2 linked regions of the Rhinolophus ferrumequinum genome follow. The protein of the gene in region 2 interacts with the protein of the main gene of each other region in a pairwise test. Links are inferred from orthologs where the notes say so. Each region holds a gene or a part of one and is shown on either strand. Other genes may lie near its edges. The genes, in order: UBR1 and DNAJB11.

Region 1 (6,706 bases), on a different chromosome or scaffold from region 2:
ATTCAGTCCCTCCACTTTTAATACCTCAAATCCCACCAATTCCCTTGGCTTATCTTATCTCCCTGTTTAACCATTACCCTAATATGCCCCCTCATTCCCTCCTCCGTCTTTACCTTCATCCTCAACCTCCTTCCCTAATCACTACCAATCTTGCTAAAATAAATCATTGATGTTGATCCTTAGATACTCATTAAGAGTACGTAAATGTCTGCTACATCAAGCACATACCAGGCTATGTCACTGATCAGTCAGACCTGATCCTTGCCTTCATGGAACTTACATTTTGGGAGGAGAGGCAGACATTTAAATAAGTAAATAAAGATAATACAGTAATTCCAGATTATAATAAGTGCAATGGAAGAAATCAACAGGGTGCTCTGACAAAGAATAAGAGGAACCCATCTTTCAGATAAGTATCAAGAAAAAGCAGAAGAATAACACACTAGGGAAAACACACACACACACACACACACACACACACAAAACGAGCAAGCAAAGACACAGGTCCTAAAGCAAGATAGAGTGTGGGCTTGTTTTACAAATTAATAGGCCATGGTGGCTAAAACTGATGAGGGGAAAATAACTGATAAGGGGAAAGGAGTGAGGGGAGATGTAGAGGCCAAATCAGGGAGGGTCTTGAATGACCTGTAATGTGTTTAGATTTTATTCCAAGTACAATGGGAAACCACTGAAAAATTTAGGCAGGAAATTGACATGATGTAATTTAGTCTTAAAAAGATGACGCTGGTTGCTATGAGGAGAGTGGACTGGAAGAAGGCAAAAATGGAAGCAAAGAGACCAGTTAAGAGGCCACTGCAGTTGCCTAGGCAACAGATGATGGCTAGACTAGAAAGGTGGAGTGAGACAGAGTTGTTTGTGTTGAAGAGCTATTAAATGGAAGTGTCATCTACTGAGACAGGGATAACAAAACTCTTGCTCTACCTCCTGCTTGCCCACTCCCCAAACCAGGTCCTTCCTCTCAGTATATGACACAACCACAGCCATGAATGCTTAAGCCAAAAACTGGGGATCCAGATGTCATCTGTTTCTTCCTTTTCCCCTCATGCCTAATCCATAGGCAAATCTTTTTGCTTTGCTTCTATCATACTTCTAAAATCTCTCTCAAACCCATCCTCTTCTTTTCATCTCCAGTGAGTTCTCCATGACAAGATACCATCAACTATGGCTTGAGTTACTGGGATAGCTTCCTAATTGTTCCCCTGTTTGAAACACTTATCAGACACCCAAGTGGGTATGTCAAGTAGGCAGTTGGATCTGTGATTCTGGAGCTCAGAAGTGAGATGACCTAGAAATATAACTTTGGGAACTGAATGCATACAGGTGGTATTTAAAGCCACAGGACTGAATGAAATCACATAAGCAGAGGGTATAGACAGGAAAAAGAGCTTAGTACCATGTCAGAAGGAATTTTTTGGACTTAAAAAAGAAAATCCAGTCAAAGACAGAAGGCAGAAGTTCTGTCAGACCCCCTCCCTCCCCGCCCATATACTCTATGAATTCCCAATTTTTCTCAGTCCTCATCTTCCACCCTTTCCTAGGAACTATACCCCATGATACTGCACTACTCTCACCTCTTACCTGCTTGGCGACTCCCTTTCTAGGTCCTTCCCTGGTTCTTTCTACATCGTCTGACCCTGAAATTCAATCATTCCTGTCCCTCCTCTTGTTTCCCTTTCCCTCCCTCTTTCCACGTGTGCCTTTCTCTCTTTCTCTCTCTCTCTTTCTTTCTGTGTATTTGTGTATACACACAGACACACACACTGTCCTCCTCAAAGATCAACCTTATCTTTCAACTCTATACTGAGAACTTCCAAATGTCTAGCTAAATCTTATTCAAAGTGTGGCCCACAGACCAGGACTTCAGAATTAGCAGAGGATGCTTGTGAAAATGCAAATTCTTGGACCCCTCTCCAGACCAACAGAATTTTTCCCCTAATCATTTTTAAACAATGGCTTTTATAAATGCTCAATAAGTCATACCTATTATTTCATTCTAATTGCATGTTAGGTGATGTTAGGAATTTGAGAGACTTCATAGTTATTGGTAGCAATATAACAGAAAAATGACCTGGGGATTAAGAAGGAAGTTTGATTTAAGGATAGCAGAAACTATAACCCCAGGGAGAAGACTTTAATGGAGTTAGTAAGATTTCTTAAACCTCTGTAACTGTCCCATATTTATTTTGTTTTCCCTGCCTCCCAATGGTGATTTAGAATACAAATCATTCAAATGCTGAAGAATCGCCGGGCTTGTTTTGCTTAACAGCAAAGAAGTAAAATGGAAAGCCAGTATCTTACTCCACTGCCAGGATAAAACTGAAGTTGGTAGCTTTAAAAAGAAAACACAAGTAGGATGATATCTGGGGTCCTCAAGTAGATAGAGAAATCCAAGCCAAAAAGTGATCATGAGGCTTAACAGTCACAAGTTTTCATTTACTTACATCACCCTATCTTGAATTAAAATTATTTGAGCACTTGTCTTATCTGTGTCTCTGGACTCTGAGTTCCCTGAGGCTATTACACTTCTCTTGGCATCTACCTACTACTTTGCAAAACCCGAAGCCTTGCCCGATGAAATCTAGTATTTCCTGAAGTAAAGAGTTTACAACATGATGCTGGCTTGATTACTCTACCATTATCTCCAATCCCAAATAAGTGAAGTCCAGATTGATAAGTTTTTACTGTACCACCTGGAAGGAATGAATATATCAAAGCTTTAAATAAACAAAGTCATCTTTGGCAATAGAAAATTACAATAACACTTTACCCACAGCGCAGTTTTCTCCACTCCTTCAAAGATGTAAAAAGCACAAGCTCCACCATTTAGACCAGATGTTTCAGCTGCTTCTAAACTTCCCCTATCTCCTCATTTCTTATCATCTCAAATAGTGAAGTGATGTTGAATTGCCATTTGGGGTAGAGGATGCCTGCAAGCTGGCGGCCATACCCTTATTCCAACTGCCTCCCTACCTGGTTTCTATCTCCAGAGCCAGTCTCACTACTCCCTGGGGGAACTCTTATTTCTGGAGCTCACCCTGTTCTTTCATAAAACAATGCTCTAGTGTCTACAGGGTTAAAATACTTCAAGAATGCTTTTATTAAAACTACAAGTCAAAGAAACTTCAGAAAGAGGTGTATATCCTTCTACACTTTTCTATATGCAAGAATAAAGACAAACTGATAAAACTCAACATCAGGTAGCGATCAATATTTGAATATTTCCTATATCTCTCCCCACCGGATGCTGGGAATCATCCAGAACGTTACCTGTTGAATGTTACCCCCTACCTCTTCTCCTCCTCAGTCAGCTTTCTCCTGGAGCCAGACTATTGACTCACGTTGGTTCCTGATCTCTGCCTTCCCATTATTTCAAAATACAAGGGCAACATATAGATTCCGACATTAATGAATGGTATTGCTCTGACTTGAAATGTCTAGAAGTCTCTTCTTCACCTTTAAAGGGCAGCGACAGATGGCGGGTTTCCCCGTTGAAGATGAGGCCTGGTGTTCTCAAGATACTAGAATGAAGGGCTGTAATTCCCACACCCCACATCTTGACATGAGGTGACAGTGGCCGCACACCCTGACACTATCAGGCCCCACCCAATTAGCTATGCAACCCAACCCTGGGTGCTGCGTCCTGGGTGCCTGTCGTCCAGAGGGGGTCAGTGCAGCGTCTGTGGGAAAATGGCTCTTCCTCCAACCCCGCCTCAGCCCCCACACCAGACAAACCATCTAATAACATCACCACTTCTTTCTACTTCAGGATAGAGACACGCTTGAGCTTGTAACCACTTATAGATGACACAGTCGTTATGTTCCGTAGACTTGGCCGGCAGGAATGTGGCTGATGACCAACTTTATTTGGTGGATTCCTTCAAGATCAATCCATACGACTCCCCCTCCCCAAAGCCGCCATAAGTGGGGAAGCCCCGCATCCTTCTGAGCGCGGTAGGGAGGGGCTGGGGGGTGCAAAAGGGACTTGCCCACAAGGACTTACAGATGCCAGGCGCTGGGGGGTCCGGGGCAACTCCGGGCTGACTTCCATCCTCTCCGTATCCCCAGCCTCCTCGTCCGCCATCTTGAGGGAAACTGACGCCCGCAGTTGCAGACCCCCCGGCCGGAGGCGAGCGGAAACCTGTGGCCGGTCCAAGAGACGAGGGACGACACTTTTACGACGGCCCCTCAAGTCGAGTTGCACGCAGACTCCAACAGCGACTTCCGGTCCGTTTCCCGGAAGGAAGCGTCACGGCCCATAGGGCCAGAGCGTGTTCCTTCCCTAATTTCTTGGTTGTAGTGCTTGGTGGCGGTCTGATTGTGTGTGTGGTTTCGGTTCAGCGAACTGTTGCTTGTACGAGGTGAAAAAACAAATTCAGCGTCCATGATGGAAGGAAGAAAACTGTCAGGGTCTAAGTGACAACCCGTCCTGGATCTCCTTCTGGCCGGGTCGTGGGTCTGGGTGCGTTTTGTCTCAACGTACCTGCAATAATGGTTCCCTTGAGCCCACAAATGAAAAAGCACTCAAAGCTGTTAACATCTTTAGAAATGAGCACTTGCACGTGCGCGCAATAAAAGTCGGGCCACAGCTCTTTTAGGAGTGATAGTGAAGAAATAACGAGAATTTGGAAATTTAGTCATTCATTGGCAGAAGGAAGACAAAATAAACATGGTAATCCACATTATGGAACACCATATGGAAAGATAAAGATAAATTAAGTGAGGGGAAAACACAACAATCAAGTTGCTACAAACTATATATTCATGCTTAGTACATTTAAAAGGGAAAGAAACAGTCTGAAAGGGAAGACAACAAACTAATAGTAAGCTCTGAGGATCAGGAGAGAAATAAGGTGTCAAGAGCTACTTGAGCTTCATCTGCATTGTTTTAAATTGTTTACAAAACATTTAGAAATGCATTTTTAACAAAGGGAAAAATAAAGCTTCTGACACTTTAGAAATGATAAATAGTTAGCTATTTAGGAATAGATTAAGATCTTCAAATCATGTATCAAAATAATTTTAATGCATTTAACAGTTAACTACTAAAGTAAAGAAGTAAATAGTGTAATACTGGGATGGAGAAAGCTTTTTAGAGCATGACACAGAAGGCAGAAAATATAAAATGACATGTATATTTCATTAAAATTAAAAACTTACATATCGTAAAAGAAAAACTACATAAAGATAAAATTAAAAACGGGAAGAAATGTTTTCAACTTACATGACATACTAAAGGTTAAAATCCAAAAAAAAAAAAAAAGAAAAATGGGCAAAATACATAAATATGCAACTCACCAATTTTTATAAATACATGAAAAAAACTTAACTAGTTTTTAACTAGCAGAGAAATGCAAATTAAAAATGGGATACCATTTATTGCCTGTAAATTTGGTAAGTTTTTCTAAAGATAACTGTCATTGGTAAGCTGGAAGGATACTTATTGTTATGTAAAATGCAAGTGTACATTGGTAAATCTGCGGGAAGGCAATGTGGCAATATTCAGAAGCTGTTTTTTTAAAAATGCGTACTCTTGGGCCGGCCCGGTGGCTCAGTTGGTTAGAGCTCCATGCTCCTAACTCCGAAGGCTGCTGGTTCGATTCCCACATGGGCCAGTGGGCTCTCAACCACAAGGTTGCCAGTTCAACTCCTTGAGTCCCACAAGGGATGGTGGGCTCCGCCCCCTGCAACTAAAATTGAACAGGGCACCTTGAGCTGAGCTGCCTCCCAGATGGCTCAATTGGTTGGAGCGCATCCTCTCAACCACAAGGTTGCCGGTTTGACTCCTACAAGGGATGGTGGGCTGCGACCCCTGCACCTAAGACTGAAAGGACAACAACTTGACTTGGAAAAAAGTCCTGGAAGTACACACTGTTCCCCAATAAAGTCCTGTACCCCTTCCCCAATAAAAAAAATCTTTAAAAAAAAAAAAAAAAGCATACTCTTTGGCCCAGCAATTTCGTTTTTAGGACTATCCTAGAAAAATAATTCAGGATGCAAGTGAAGTTTTAACTATATTAGTATTGGTAATAGAGAAAAATTATAAACAACTCAAATGTCCAACAATAAAGGACACTGGCTAAACAAACTGTGGCCACCCATACAATGTAATACTCTGCAGCAGTTAAAAATGTTGCAGAACAGTGACTCTCAAAGTGTGGTCCACAGACCCCCTGTGAGTTCCCTAGACTCAGGAAGTCTGTGAGATAAAAACTATAGTAATACAGAGTAGTTATGTGCCTTTTTTTTTTTTTTAACTATGTTGGTATTTGTACTTATTGGTGCAGAAGTCATGGTGGGTGACTTAGCACCAAAGTATGATGGTTGATTTGAGGAGAAGCACTTCTGTGACCGAGTCGCTAGCTGAACCAGCCACTTTTTTCACGGAATACCATTTTTACTTAAAAGAACAACTGACAGACACCCTAGGGTTATTCAGACTTTGGTATATGGCAGGGATTTTCTTAAATATAAACGAGTAAGCTTTTCTCTTCAAGGAAAACAACAGTTTTTGTTGTCTATAAAAGAATTTGAGCTTTCAAGTGAACATTTTGTGGCGAACTTGATCTGCCACTATGAGTTTGCAACCTAGTTTGCAACCTGATGAAATCAGTTGTGGTGTTAACACATAATTTGGGGGGGTGGTATTTTATATAATGAAATGTATTGACATTTGGAAGATCTGTAT
Region 2 (6,706 bases):
TGATCTGCATAAAAAAAGAAAATTTTAAATTGAATTAGTTACCAAAATTTTACAATCAGGAGAATTTACATAAAAATCTAGATTTCCACTTCTCTTGAAACATTAAATGATCTGGCAACACAGTATTTGCATTTGTATGTGGCAAAAACTGGTCAGGGCTGAATAACAGCTGCTTCCTTAAAATGGGGCAAGAAGTCTTCAGTTTGTCACAGTTCTCATCAATCTCTAGCGATTCCCAATATGGAAGGTAAAATATCCATTGTCATATTTTATCTTATTCCTGCCCTGTATGTTATTTGCCTGGTCCATATGGGCATATGGATTTGTAGTCCTCATTTAGATTTTGTTCCTGTTTCTGGCTCCAGCTCCCAAACTGGTTGATTGATAATAAATTTACTTAACTAACCTATCAATCTTTCTTTCATTCACCTTTTTTCAACATTACTCTCCTTAATAAAACAAATAATATGAAAAAGGCAGCAAATGGCATCTACTAACATTAATTCACACTGTAGCCTCACATATTACTTTTATCTATTGTCTATTTTTAAAAAGAAGTGACCTGAAGGAAGAGAATGTTTCCCGTGTTATATGGTCTTTTCTCTACCTCTAGATTTTATTCCTACTTTATACTTTTCTCACTCACCTCATAAGCAGCACCCAGATCCTGGAATTTCTCCTGAGCTCGTGGATCATCAGGGTTCCGGTCAGGATGAAGCTGTAGGGCTAGTTTCCTGTAGGCCTTTTTAATATCCTTTATAGAGGCACTGCGAGGCACCCCCAAGATCTTATAGAAATCTCGACTGGGGAGGAGGGAAAAAGAGAGGATACTTCATTAAAGAATTATATATAATACTTTTAAGTGAATTTTTTCCTTTATATTTAGGCTTGTGTCTGAGCAAAGAGGCAAGAGAATGAAGGTATACATGAGACAGTAACACACAAAAAAGAATGACTGAAAAGAGAACACACCAGAATTTGTAGTAAGTTTTATATATTGAAATAATCACAGAGAGAGGCTATGTACTTTTTGAGCAATGCTAGTATTATTCAAAACATCTATGTCATTCTTTTCTTAGAATTACCTTCAGTCAAGAAAACCATTTTCTTATTTTCTGTTCACACGTTATTTTCAACCAAGAATTGTATAAGCAAATTAACTCTTTTCCCCATTACTGACTTCAAATGACTTTTGACTGTTTCTGAAGGTCAAATAACAACCTCAAAGGATGATTTTCTTTATTCAAAAAGATTACATCACATAAATGTTCTGACTAACAGTACACTGGTGGAATGTTAAAGATGAAGTGACTGAAATTAACTTCAGAGGTTAACATAGGGGTTAAGCCAAAGAACTCTGAAGAGAGAATAACACCCATTTGGATGTATGAGTTGTGGGTCTTTGCTGAAAGAGACAGAAAACATCAATCCTGCAGTCATTGCTAGTAGTTATACTACTTTGTCTAAGTCAAGTCTTAATTATAGACAGCTGCTGAAGACCATATGCAGGAGCTTACAAGGCTCAGCAGCCGCAAATATGCATTTGGCATGAGCTGGGAGATAAGGTATAGACATCCACAGACTTCCTTGCAAGGGATTATGTTGGAACCAAATTAATTATAAAGGAAATCTTTGTAAGAAGGGCCAATGGGAAGATAGAATATGACTATAAACTTTCAGGGCAGGGACTGTGTCCAGCCCACAGAAAACACCAATAAATATTCATTGAATAAAATGAATAAATAAGCACGCTCTCAAAAATCTATTCCTTTTTGCCAGAGTCACTTTAGCCACGAGAAGTTATTCTGAAAATGCATTCTGTCAGTAAAGGAAATGGGAAAGTTGTTCACAATGGACACACTAATGGAGTAGTGATGGTAATTTTATAATGTAGTGGGGGGAATGCACTGGGGTACCAAGATAGACATGATATAAGACAGAACATTTCAAAAATTATTTCATAATCTTTTAGTCACACTTTAGGAAAATCATTTAAGTTTTTAAAATCATGCACAAAGGGTTCCATGAGGATTAATTAAGTGCTTTATCCCCCCCCCAAATAAAATCTGCAAAAACTTGGTATCTCTTGAGACAAGAACTACATAAATTGAAAGGTTCACTACAATTAATGACAAAAGAGGTAACTCTATAAAGAATAAGGCTTAATTAGGATATGCATAATACAAAAATGGTGAGGTAACAGCTCAAAAAATACAGGGGAAAGATAGTAGCTGGCATAGCTCAGCATCACCATTACAATTCCCAAGAGATTCCTTTATGGAAGACTTGAAGATTAAGGCTACAGTATTAACTATATTTATATGGACATTTTGTTTAAACACCGTAGGGTACTTACTGCTTTAAGTGTAAATACTACTAACAAAAACATACTAAGAAAAACGATAATAAGGCATTACCTATGAGAGTTAATTTAAAAAGAAATTTAAGATATTTCAAAAGAAAAAAAGAATAACAATAGTTTAAGCATATATACAAAGGGAAAAAGCTTTGACGAGAATAACAAGTGCTTAAATTTTATAGCTGTGCTAGGTAGTACTTTCTCCATTTAGAGCAACCTGTTAATTGTTAGAAGTTAAGACCTTACTCTTCCTCACATTCTACGAATATTCTCCTGGCATATCATATCCTGTGGTCACCACGCTTATAGGATCAAGGATCTTAAAAGGCTGGAAGGATTCTCCAGAGTGCAGGTGGTCCTACTCCCTTTGTAGAGGAGGCACATTACTATCTTCGTGTCACCGCTGTGAATTTAGGTGGTTCCTTCAAGGTCACATAATTCCTAAGTGGGGGAGGTAGATGGGCTAGAATCTCAGTCTAGTACCTGTTGGTGAAATGCTCTTCCCTCTCATACCATTCAGCTTCTCAAAACTGTACCACGGAAAGAGACAGTGAGGCATGATGACAGCTCAGACTCAATATATCAAGAAGCCGGGAAGTACAAAGGTCTGCCTTACTCCCTCAATTTAATTTCCTTCAGTCCCAGCATGGCTTCCACATCTGTTCTCCTTACTTCCTTACTCAGCATGGCACTAACCCACCCACTTTAATGTCAGCTCCCCAATGGCTCTTTGCAGGCTCAACATAATATAGTCCTGTTTCCCAGCTCAGCAGCCCCGCTCGGCGCCCCCCGCCCCGCTCCTTGTGGTAGGCGCTGCATCCAACTCCCACTCCTCCGCACAAATCTAGCTCTATAGGCTCTGTGGGTCTAAGCCCCTCTCCCTCGTGTCACCCATCGCTCTCCCCACCCCACTAGCCTGGTCCACACTACGCATTCTTCGGCCCCACCGCCTCACCACAGCAATGCCCCCTCTTCATCCCTCCAGCCTCGTCCCAGCCAAGGCTGACTCGCGGGCTCTGTGCCTCGCGGGTGCCCGCTCCTCACCCGGCGATCACGGCCCCGATGAAGTACAGCAGCAACAGGCAGAAGGTACTCAGGTTTTGTGGGGCCATGGTTTCGCTGTGCCAGCCTCTGTGCCGGCCCTTGCCCCAAACACTCCTCACAGCGTCCGCCGCCGCCGCGTCGGCTCCCCAGCCCACCCAGCCCTGAGAGGCCGCCTCACGCAGGGGTCTCCTACTCGGTCCGGAACGACAGCTAGCTTGCCCCCCCCCTCTGCCAGTCAGCTTCCCGGGAGTCCCCAGTCCCCGTGAGAGAGAAGCCCTCGGCAAGTGAGAGCCAATCGCTGCTCCGGACATCACACGCGGCCGGCGCCTCGCAACCAATCAGCGCAGTACACTTCACCTCCGAGGCGGCGCTGGCAGCCAGTTAGGCTTCAGAACTACAGCCGCAACTCCCGGCCAGTTAGAAGAGACAACGTCAGAGAATCGCGCCGCTGCAGGAATCCGCTCAGCCCCGGCTCCCGCGAGTCGTAGAAAACTACGTAAAAGGGCGGTAGGGGAATTGGTGCCAAAAGAGGGCACCAAGATCCAAGAAGTTCCCCCACCCGCCCTCGGACTCTCCACCAATCGGGAGGCTCCTCCTTCAGCACTGACCAATTGCGGGAGGAAAGTTTGAGCCTGGTTACTAGTCTTGGAATTTCATTCATATGGAACTACACGCTGGAGGCGTGTAGGCAAAATGGGCGGGGACAATTACTCCACGCCGACAGTACCCCGGAGGCAATGCTTAGGAGATCTTATTACTATACCTTCTCCTGACCTCCAAGGAGAAAATTGTCTCGGTTTCACAGAGAAGAGACCGTGGAGACAGACCGAGGTGCGGATTCAGCTTCCACCACTTCTTAAAGGTGAGAACAGCCTCCGCCCCTTACCCACAAGCCTGAACCTAAGCTTCTTTATTTACAAATTTGAGCTATTTTACTGGCAGTGTTGTGAAATTTTAATAGGAGAAAATCTGTAAATAGTCTAGTACAGCGTCTGGCACATAAAGCAGGCGATCATCGCCTGCTTTATGTGCCAGACGCTGTACTAGACTGTTTACAGGAGAATTCTGATTCCCTCCACCTACTTTTGCTTGTCTCAGTAAACGCACCACCTAGTTGTTCACGACAAAACTCTGGGTGTGTTCCTTGATTCCTTTGCCGCATCCCCTATCCAAGTCTTTATCTTTAAACTATAACCTGAATCTGTCCACTACTCTACATCTCCACTATCTCTCTGGGCTAAGTCACATCACTGCTCACCTGACAAGTACCTCCTAACTGGCCTCCCAGCCTCCTCTATTAATATCTCTTGTTCACTCCTGCCCCGCTGCCATGATTTTTTTTACAAACATATCAAATTATGTGATTCCCCTGCTTAAAAGCCTTGAATGGCTTTCTATTGCACTTAGAATAAAATCCCAGCCCTTTATGCTAGCTCATAAAACTTTATATGTCTCAAAAAAGCTGGGGAAAAAATTTTTTAAACCTTATATGAGCTCTACTTTCACCTAGTATACACCTTACCATGTTCCAGCAAAATTGGTTTCCTTTCTCTTTTTTTAATACACCAAGTTCATTACTGCCTAGGGCCTTTGTTCTAGCTGTTCTTTCTGCCAGAAACATTCTTCCCTCAGCTCCTAACAAGGGTGACTCCTTTTTAAACACAGATATCAGCTTAAATATCACCTCTAAGAAGACTTCCCTGATCAATCAAAATTAGCTCCTGCTGAATCCCTTGTTCTTACACCATCTTGTTTTATATTAGTTTCCATCCCCGCATCCCGTACTCACATACACTGGGAATGCCAGTTTCGTGAGAGCATGAATCTAGATTGTTCTGTTCTCAGCTGTATAGAATAGTACCTTAGAACAGTGCCTGCCATGGAGTAAAAATTGCTTCGACTGTGATCTTCGTATTATGTCTTCTTATTCTTCTTATTCTTCAAATTCAGCACTGACTTCATCCCCCCCAATAATCACTATCTGATATTATCCTATTTTATTTTCTTAATATGTATTATCCATTCTCCCTATTAAAATATACATTCCAAGAAAACAATGACCTGTTTTGTTCACTAGTGTAATCCTAGTGCCTAGCACTGTGCCAGACAGAGTGGTGCTCAATAAATAATTGCTGTTGCAGAAAACATAGACACAGAGAGAATTTGATCAATGTCTGAGCCACTTAGTGGTGCAGCCTGGATTCTAACCTAGATCTTTTTTAATCCAAGGCCCCTGCTCTTTACCTCTTGATTCATGCAGAGTTAAGAGAAAGACAAAGTTACTGCTTTCAGGAGATGCCTACTAGGGGAGAGAGGCTATGTAAACGAGGAACTAAATTGCATTTTATGGTCTTATTTACCTTTGTATCGGCCACACCTAGAGAAACCATAAACGAACTAAGAAAGCAGGAAATGGCTAAAAATCATGAAATGAAGGTTTAGAGGAAGGAGTGATGTCTGCTGCTGGGTGGAATCTAAAAAAACTTCGAGAAAGTGGTTACATGTTGGGAAAACTAACAGAGTTAAGCTAAGCCTGGAATTTCCCTGCATCAGAAGGCCTGGGCTTGTATCTTGGCTAGTGTCTTGCTGTGTGACCTTAGGGGTGTGATACTGTCACCTCTACACCCTAGTTTCCCCATCAATAAAACAAATGTACTTAATATTAAGGACTCTTGGGAAGACTGAGATAATACACATAAAAGTAGTTTACACAATGCCCCATCCAGAATAAGCACTCTAAAATGTAAATTATCATTATTATTACTGATCCAAGTGTGCTGACCTTTCCAGCAGCTACTGCCTAACCACAGTTCTGTGGAACACTAAAAGACTTCCTACTCTCCTGAGTTGAAAGGTGTGATCCCAGAAAGCGGGGGTTGGCTCCGGATCCCAGTCTCCAGGGCTCTTGGCCTTCGCCAAATTTTTCTCAGACCGGTGGAGAAGCGATCGGCCACTCTAGCAGCGTAGTCCTCCGGTTCTCGGTGGTGCAAGGCATCGCGCTTGCGCGGTGGATGCGGCGGCGGCGGTCAAAGGGCGGGCCACTGCAGCAGGGCGCAGGGCGCCGCGGCGCGTGGAAAGGTGCGGTGGCACCGCCCGCCTTCGCAGGTAACGCACGCGGGCCGGCGGCAGGGAGAGAAGGATGGGCGGGTCACACTTCAGGCTCGGGCTGGGGAGGCTGCCTTCCCGTTCTCCAGTTCTCGGGTCCGCTGCGGGCCCTGTCACTAAGGTTTTTTGCCTGTGAAGTCAGGTCGGAGCTCTTGGGTGGCCCACACCGCGTCCTACTTCGGACAGCGTCCGAGGTGG

The links.
Region 1: the proteins of DNAJB11 (region 2) and UBR1 interact in a two-hybrid assay, tested with the Homo sapiens proteins (2 studies listed by BioGRID and IntAct). The link is inferred for Rhinolophus ferrumequinum from reciprocal best matches to the Homo sapiens genes DNAJB11 and UBR1.

What each region holds. Positions count from the first base shown.
Region 1 is NC_046289.1:62,618,577-62,625,282, reverse strand, and holds the start of UBR1 (E3 ubiquitin-protein ligase UBR1), read right to left. Parts: upstream 4,442-6,706; 5' UTR 4,103-4,441; coding exon 4,022-4,102; intron 1-4,021. UniProt on the Homo sapiens protein: E3 ubiquitin-protein ligase which is a component of the N-end rule pathway. Recognizes and binds proteins bearing specific N-terminal residues that are destabilizing according to the N-end rule, leading to their ubiquitination and subsequent degradation.
Region 2 is NC_046285.1:59,038,029-59,044,734, forward strand, and holds the start of DNAJB11 (dnaJ homolog subfamily B member 11), read right to left. Parts: upstream 3,669-6,706; 5' UTR 3,472-3,668; coding exon 3,404-3,471; intron 804-3,403; coding exon 647-803; intron 1-646. UniProt on the Homo sapiens protein: As a co-chaperone for HSPA5 it is required for proper folding, trafficking or degradation of proteins.